Bombyx mori: one gene and its partner. The protein of the gene in region 1 purifies or fractionates together with the protein of each later gene. This does not show direct contact. Links are inferred from orthologs where the notes say so. Each region holds a gene or a part of one and is shown on either strand. Other genes may lie near its edges.

Region 1 (3,763 bases):
TTTTTTTAAACACAACAGGAGAATAGAAGTATCACTTTCATACCTGCTTCAACTGCTTCAGCTTCTTCAATTGCGAGATCTATTTCCTCATCGCTCACATTGGACCAGAATTCAATACCTTGTAATGAAATCTCATCAATATCAGATTTCATAGCCTCAAGTGTTATGGGGAATAGAGCTTGTCCCATGTAAGGTTCCATATGTTGATAATAAAGTGATAAAATTTTCACCTGAAGATAATTTTGTTTGATTAAAAACTATTTTTTAAATTAATTAATACAGTAATTGTTTAAATTTAATCATGTCAATAGCTGGTATCCCAAAAAATAAGTCTTAGCTTTGTTATTCATGTTAATATTATAAATTTATAACTGAGTAAATGTAATATTAATATAAATTGTAATTCATACACTTTCATATCTAACTAATCAATCATTAATTATGAAATTTTACATAAATGCTGTCAAGAGTACAGAAAAGGACATAAAAGGATACTATCCACAAAAAAGTAATATTCCTGAGGTATATAATTTTTTCTACTTTCATGGGAAGAAAGCTAATGTGGTAGCTAAGGTGGTATTTTATTTTAATTTTAAATATAATACTTGGATTCACATTATATATTTATAAAACTTACTAAGCATTGCAAAGCAGCAACGCTGATTCTCATGTCACTAGACTGTGTGGCTTCACAGACAACCTCCATAATAAAGTTTCTTTCATTTTCTTTTTCAAAGTTCGCTCTGGTGAATTCTAGAGAGTTGAGCAAAGCTTGAGTAGCAGCTAGTCGAACATGATTACTGGGTTCAGTTGACCTCATGCCATGTATGATGGCCGTAAGAATTTGATTACTTCTTTCTGTTAATACTTCAGCATCAATATCCTGACAAATGTAGCCTAGAAGAATAAGAAATACATCAGTATTGTTAAAGAGATTAATAGCAATTTGCCTTTAGTTATAAAGCACAATTAAAACTGTAATTTTTTTTTTGTTTATTTATATAACATAATTTGTCATAGCTCTTTTAACTATCAAATGTTCATTCAGTTACCAATAGCCTCCAAAGTCGCTTCCTTTTTGAGTTCAGTAGATTGGACATGAACAACATTTTCTACAAGAATTGGTATTAGATCATTCCATTGTCCTACTGGGAGCTCAGCTACTGCCACATACGCCACACACTGTGCTGCTGAACTTGGACGACTATTCTCTGTTCCTATAGCAGCTAATATCTAAAAAAGAAACTAGTATTAAAATTAAATATAACTTGGTTACCTACACCTGATGGAACTTATCAGATTCTCCACCTTCATTAGTTCAAGCTCTATACTATAACTATACCTGAGACCTTAGAACTTGTATCTCAAGATGGGTGGCGTAATTACGTTTTAGATGTCTTGTGTGTTTGTATTTATTAGTGTTGTGTTAAATTATATTTATTACTAATTTTAATTTTAATCTAAGTAAGACATACAGGGAATTGCTATTTAGACAATAATTGAGCAATTTAGCTTAGAGATAATATTATATATATTTTTATTATTAAGTAACTTATTAGTGAATTTTTCAATGTTTCACTTGTTTCTTGTTTGCAATATTGCCTTACATTTTCTTTTATATAAAGTCGAACATCTTCTGCCAAAGCCAGCCATCTTTGTTGATATTGTTGTTTAAGTGTAGGATCTTTAGAAGTGAGATGATTTTTCAATTGCAAACCAGCTGCCATCCTAGCCACTTGACTGTTACCACCTTGGAGAAGGACATCGGACAACATTTTGATGAATGTTGTGAAATTTGTGGTGGCAGCATGGTCGAGGTATCTAACTGCTGCTTCCAATTCATTTCGATCTGTAAGCAATAACCATAATCTAAGTACATAATTTACAAAGTGAAGTACCCCAAATTTAACTATGTCTGTATACTGATATGTCACATGAAAACAAAAGGTGTTAGAGAATCAAATTTGTGAGGTCTTTTTTGTATTTTATTACCACTGAAACCAGGCGAGAATATGGGCCACCTAATGGTGAGTAGTCACGATCACTAATCCAAGTCATCCATGCCAAGGGAACATCAAAACCAATTGATTATTTAGTACCACTACTTCTTTTATTATAATTTCTTAATAAATATTTTTATACTTTGAAATAATGTTGTTTAAATATATTTTATACGGCCCCTGTTGCACATTGTTTCTTTCTTATTAGGGTATGTATGTACAAAATCGTTACCTATTCATTTAATACTACAGAATATCCACTATTTTCTAACCTTAAACTTATTTTTTTGTTTTTTATATGTACAATGAATTAAAATAGCTATTGAATTCAAAAGTTATAGCACACTTTTTCATTGAATGTTAATAACACAGACATCGTGAGGTTCGAAAGCTGAACTAGAAGTTTCCTGGATGACAGGTAAGCATTGCGGTTGGTGATACTAGATAAAATTACAGTCTCGTTTTAATTCAAATGCTTTTTGCTGAGAAATGCCATTTTTTTATCCATTCTACAGTTTTTCCGGATAAATTTCAGAATCATGGCATAGTTTATAGGTAGCAAAAGTACGTTATTTTCTATAACGCCATCCATGTTCATGTTGATGTTAGTCATATTACTTACCAGGTGAAACTGTCTTCTCAAGTATTTGTATAAGCGTTAATGTTGTTTCTGCGTGCATTGTTTCACTATTCTTAAGTTTATGTTGCAAAAGACTGACTCAATCCTGTTTTTTGAAAAATAGAAACCGGCGGACGACGGAAGAACACTCATGAAATATTGGCTATTGAGTATTGTTGCCAGCAGAGGGTATTTTTAATCTATACTCTATTTCAATTGTGATAGTGTAGGACACTGGCCCACGAAATCTGGTAAAGATGTCGCTAGCAGCTGATTTTTCAAGAAAAAAGTGTTTGGTATTTAATCAAGTGTAATTTCTCTCGATTTCCCCCAAAAGGCACATATAAACCACAATAAGTTTTTCAATTTCAAGTATTTGGTTATATATCATGACAATGATAAGCTTTCCAAGAAGTCCTAATGGATTTACCATAATTAATCTCAAATAGCAAATAGTTATTTATGCGAGCATTCAACTTTTGTCCAGTTCCTCATGTCACACATCTGCAGTAATGCTGTTGCCATTTGATCAGAAGGTGTGATACCGGCACTAGACCATCAAATATTGACCATGACTTTTATGGATGTGTTTTTGTTTAGGGCATTGCTTAATTGCTTAACCAGGGTATAATCAACATGATGACCGCTTACAATTATTAAAAATAATAATTTTTTCTTGGCAAGTAATAATGCGGTTTAAAATCCCTTACTTTCTGAGTCTGTCGAGCAACTGTATACGCAACTTATATTTTAATGCGTTCGTCGCGTTGGCGATCGTTCAATTGGTACAGCAACTACATAACAAGTTTTGTTACTTTCCCAATTTGACGCAAATAAACCTATATTGTATTGATGCTAGCATTAAAAGCTGTTGCTAATTCAACGATAGCTTGAGTGTCGTTATTTTCCACGATCGCTTCTGATTCGTCGTTGATGATTGTATAGATTTAGGCGTTCGTATTTTATATCAAATTTCCGGAAAGGCTTACTCAAAGTGTTCACTCCATACATATATAATTAATGTTGTGGGTTGTTTGTGCGGCATTGTTGCCGCGATGGAACTCTTATTCCATTATTACATATATTTTTACTATACCTATATTAACATGAATGTGATGAAAACAAAGCACTAATCAAATGACCG
Region 2 (3,663 bases), on another chromosome or scaffold:
GCTTGGGTATTAGTTCTAGAGTCTCCGCGTCGCCAGATTTGTCGCCCAGACCTAGCCTGTTGGCGGAAAATCAACATGTCAATACATAAAATGTTTTATTGGATGGACGAGCTCATGGTGTTAAGTGATTACTGGAGCCCATAGACAACGTAAATGCGCCACTCATCTTGAGATATAAGTTCTAAGGTCTCAGTATAGTTACAACGGCTACCCCACCCTTCAAACTGAAAGGCATTACTGCTTCACGGCAGAAATAGGCGGGGTGGTGGTACCTACCCGTGCGGAGTCACAAGACGTCCTACCACCAGTGGTACAAAAACAGTGATATACTAAGGTTGGTGATGGATTTAGGGCTTGATGCCGCCCCAGGCCATATTTATCGCGCCGCTCTTAATGTTGGAATAATTTTATTAATTTTGATCCTATATTTTTATTTTAAATTTAAAAATAACTAAAAATCAATCTGAACTAATTTTTAAAGGAGACTTGTCTTTACATTTTTTAATCTTTGAAATTTTGGCATTTCAAAAGCGCAAAAGTAGCCTACGTTTACCATGGTTACTATGGAGATAAGGGGTTTAAAATTTGATATCGAGTACATATATATAATGTTTTCAAAGTCACTTGTTATCTATGGCAGAAACTAGGGATATGCCGGTTTTGCATAAAAATTTGCACGAATATGAAAATTTTGGGTCAGGCTATTCTTGCATTGACTGACGGCCTTGCAATTTCGAACCTAAGCTTTGTTATAATTTTTTTTTTAAATGGTTAATATTGGAATTTCCCATACCTCCCATATTCACAACGTCCCAGCGCATATATCTGTCCGTTGGCAGCGAGCGTCAGTGTGTGATGTTGTCCGAGGGCCACAGCGCTCCACGCGTGATCGTCTCCGACGGCTCGTAGTGCGTCACACTCGGTCGGAGAAAACAACGCTGTTTTACGTTTCTCACCCGTTATGCCTGGAATATATTTTAAATATTTTATTATTTGTATACATAAATATTTGTAGATCGTATATAATATTAGGAAGGAGCATTGATGACTGGATTTAACTCACAGACGACGATTCACAACGATTTTAAAGAAGTTTCACTTCAAAAAAACTGTATCTAGTGTTGATGGCTAGTGAGAGGTGCACTGACCGAGCTGTCCGTAGTTGTTGAGTCCGAAGGCGAAGAGTCTGGCGTGCTGCGCGTCCAGCACGAAGGTGGCGTGGTGGCCCGCCCACACGCGCGCCGCCGCCTGCCGCAGCGTCACCCGCGCCGGCACCAGCAGCGCGCCTGCACACTCACACTATCACAACCGGACCCTACTACTCACACTATCACAACCGGACCCTACTACTCACACCCACTACACTCCACCACCGGACATTGGAGAGTACGGACAAAAGGACCTCACCACACTACTCCACTACCGGACATTGGGGGAAGAGCGGACAAATCTGAGTTGTCACAATGCATTTGTGAGATTTCAATTTGTTGAATTGGATAAGACTTTAATTTAGTGTTTATGAATATTAAATAGTTTAGTCATCAGTTTTGTAACCGATTAAAGATATTAAAAAGTTAATTACCTACCTAACAACTAACGGTGCTACCCCTATCGAAAAACTCTATTGTCCCCATATGTGATCCGATTCACCCCAAAAGCCAAGGTGGATCAGGTCAAGCAAATTTTTTAAGTTTTTGTGTATGTTTTACTATGTTATTAATGCATTGTAAATGAACATTTTAACCTCTGGTACCGTTTCAATCTCAATTTTATTGATATTACCCTAAGATAAACTACTGAAAATTTGGTTTGGGATTGGAAAGTGTCCCGATTCCCCCAAACTACAGTTACTGTACTGTTTGTAGCTATCCACAGATGAACATATGCCTCTCTAATCTCCAGTGCGGCCGGTCCATTGGCACTGACATCCAACGTGACCCAACGATTTTCATTAGGTCATAAAAAACGGAAACAATATGAAAACACAACATTTACAAATCAGTACCACAATACATTGTACTTTAATAAGTAGTAAACTGAATTTGAAGCACATTTCTTGGCTGAATAAAGAAAAGGTATACATACTGAAGCCCTGCCTGGCGTCTCGAGACGCTGATCTCTGCGCCAGCCTGCCCAGCTGCCCTTGTTCCCCGCAGCCCAGTGTGAATACACCGCCTGATGTCTGGAAGCAACATTTTTTTTATTGCATATGTGATGTTAAGTGGTTACCAGGGCCCATAGACATCTACAGCGTAAATGCGCCACCCTTCGAACGCCCCACCCTCGGCAGAAATGGGCGGGCTTTGTAGGGGATGTCAGTGGTGCTAGTGTGCAGTTGTGTGTGTAGTTTATATAATATTACAGTAACATAGAAAAAAGTGTATATGATGGACACATAATTCTGTTCCTGTCACTATCATGTCTGCCTTGGCAGAGGAACTCGGAAAATTAAAAGCACCATAATGAGATACTATACCATCATTGGAGTTGTTCTTCTTTTAACACTTGGACTTTAACTCACATAACCAACTCTGTATGAAGTAGGAAATGTTACGTACCGTCAATACAACTAGATGATCACCCCCTGATGCTATTTCTACGGCTGGCTCTCCGATGTCAATCTTAACAGGTTCTTTGCAGGGTTTTCCTTCGCGCCCTCGGACAACCAGTCCCATGCTACCATGAGAATCCTGTAAACAACAGTCATAATGATAAGTACTTAATTCTTAAAGTAAATTATAATTTTTTACAACAACCAAGTGGATGTCAATTATAGCATATTGAATTTGCCTGAATTAAAGATTCTTGTTAATTTTGCTTTGAGTTTGTTGAAAATATTGGTCTTGGTCACACAATAAAAAAGTAACTTAAATACACAATTTAAACCAAGAATAACTATTTTTTTATACTAAATGTAAAAACTAATACTTAACAACTAAATACTATTTACAAAAGAAATTATTTGGTAAAAATATTATCTTCTACTTTAAATTATGATTAAAAAACCCATAAAGTAGGTATGCAACCTGAGAGCAAGTCAGGTTTTAGAATAAAACTCACTCGGAAAGACCCCCAAGCATAAACATCTCCATTCTGCAATAAAGCAGCAGAGTGTGAGTCTCCAGCCGAGACAGCCACAGCTGCGACAGGCAAAGAAACCTGTTTGGGAGTCCCTTCATCCTTCTCATTGCTGGTGGCACGTCCAAGGGCACCTTCGTCATTACAACCAAAAGTCCAAATCTGAAAACATTCAATATTTTTAACTGGCTTCACAAAAAATTATAATAGGACCGCCTAGAATAAACCGAGAATATTAAATGTGATTGTTTGCAAAAATTATGCTTTTTATATATTTATAGCAACGTTTTTTTATGTTTCTTTTCTAAAAACTTTGTTGATTTATTAGTTAGTGGAAGGCCTTCGATCCAGGCCATCTATAATCAGCCTACACATTAGATTTTGCTAAAATCATGTTGGTACTTTTAATACGATTTTCTAACAAGAAAATATATCCGCTGAATGTAACAAATACCATCATTGTTTATAAGAAATGGAGATTATTTGATTGTGCAGTTTTTGTTTGTTTGAACCGATTTGAATGATTTTCAATTGTTTTTATTTTATTTAGGAAATTGAACTCGCTAATATTATGCTACTACCAAT

The links. Proteins that work in one complex are often made in the same cells at the same time.
Region 2: the proteins of importin subunit beta-1 (region 1) and regulator of chromosome condensation purify together in Homo sapiens (affinity purification with mass spectrometry; 3 studies listed by BioGRID and IntAct, counting the BioPlex papers as one, with this or other methods). This does not show direct contact. The link is inferred for Bombyx mori from reciprocal best matches to the Homo sapiens genes KPNB1 and RCC1.

Annotation. Positions count from the first base shown.
Region 1 is NC_085110.1:11,421,332-11,425,094, reverse strand, and holds the start of importin subunit beta-1, read right to left. Parts: upstream 2,819-3,763; 5' UTR 2,681-2,818; coding exon 2,623-2,680; intron 1,850-2,622; coding exon 1,608-1,849; intron 1,234-1,607; coding exon 1,053-1,233; intron 898-1,052; coding exon 638-897; intron 231-637; coding exon 44-230; intron 1-43.
Region 2 is NC_085130.1:7,892,936-7,896,598, forward strand, and holds part of regulator of chromosome condensation, read right to left. Parts: intron 3,241-3,663; coding exon 3,061-3,240; intron 2,691-3,060; coding exon 2,559-2,690; intron 2,183-2,558; coding exon 2,086-2,182; intron 1,287-2,085; coding exon 1,149-1,286; intron 966-1,148; coding exon 794-965; intron 57-793; coding exon 1-56. UniProt on the Homo sapiens protein: Guanine-nucleotide releasing factor that promotes the exchange of Ran-bound GDP by GTP, and thereby plays an important role in RAN-mediated functions in nuclear import and mitosis.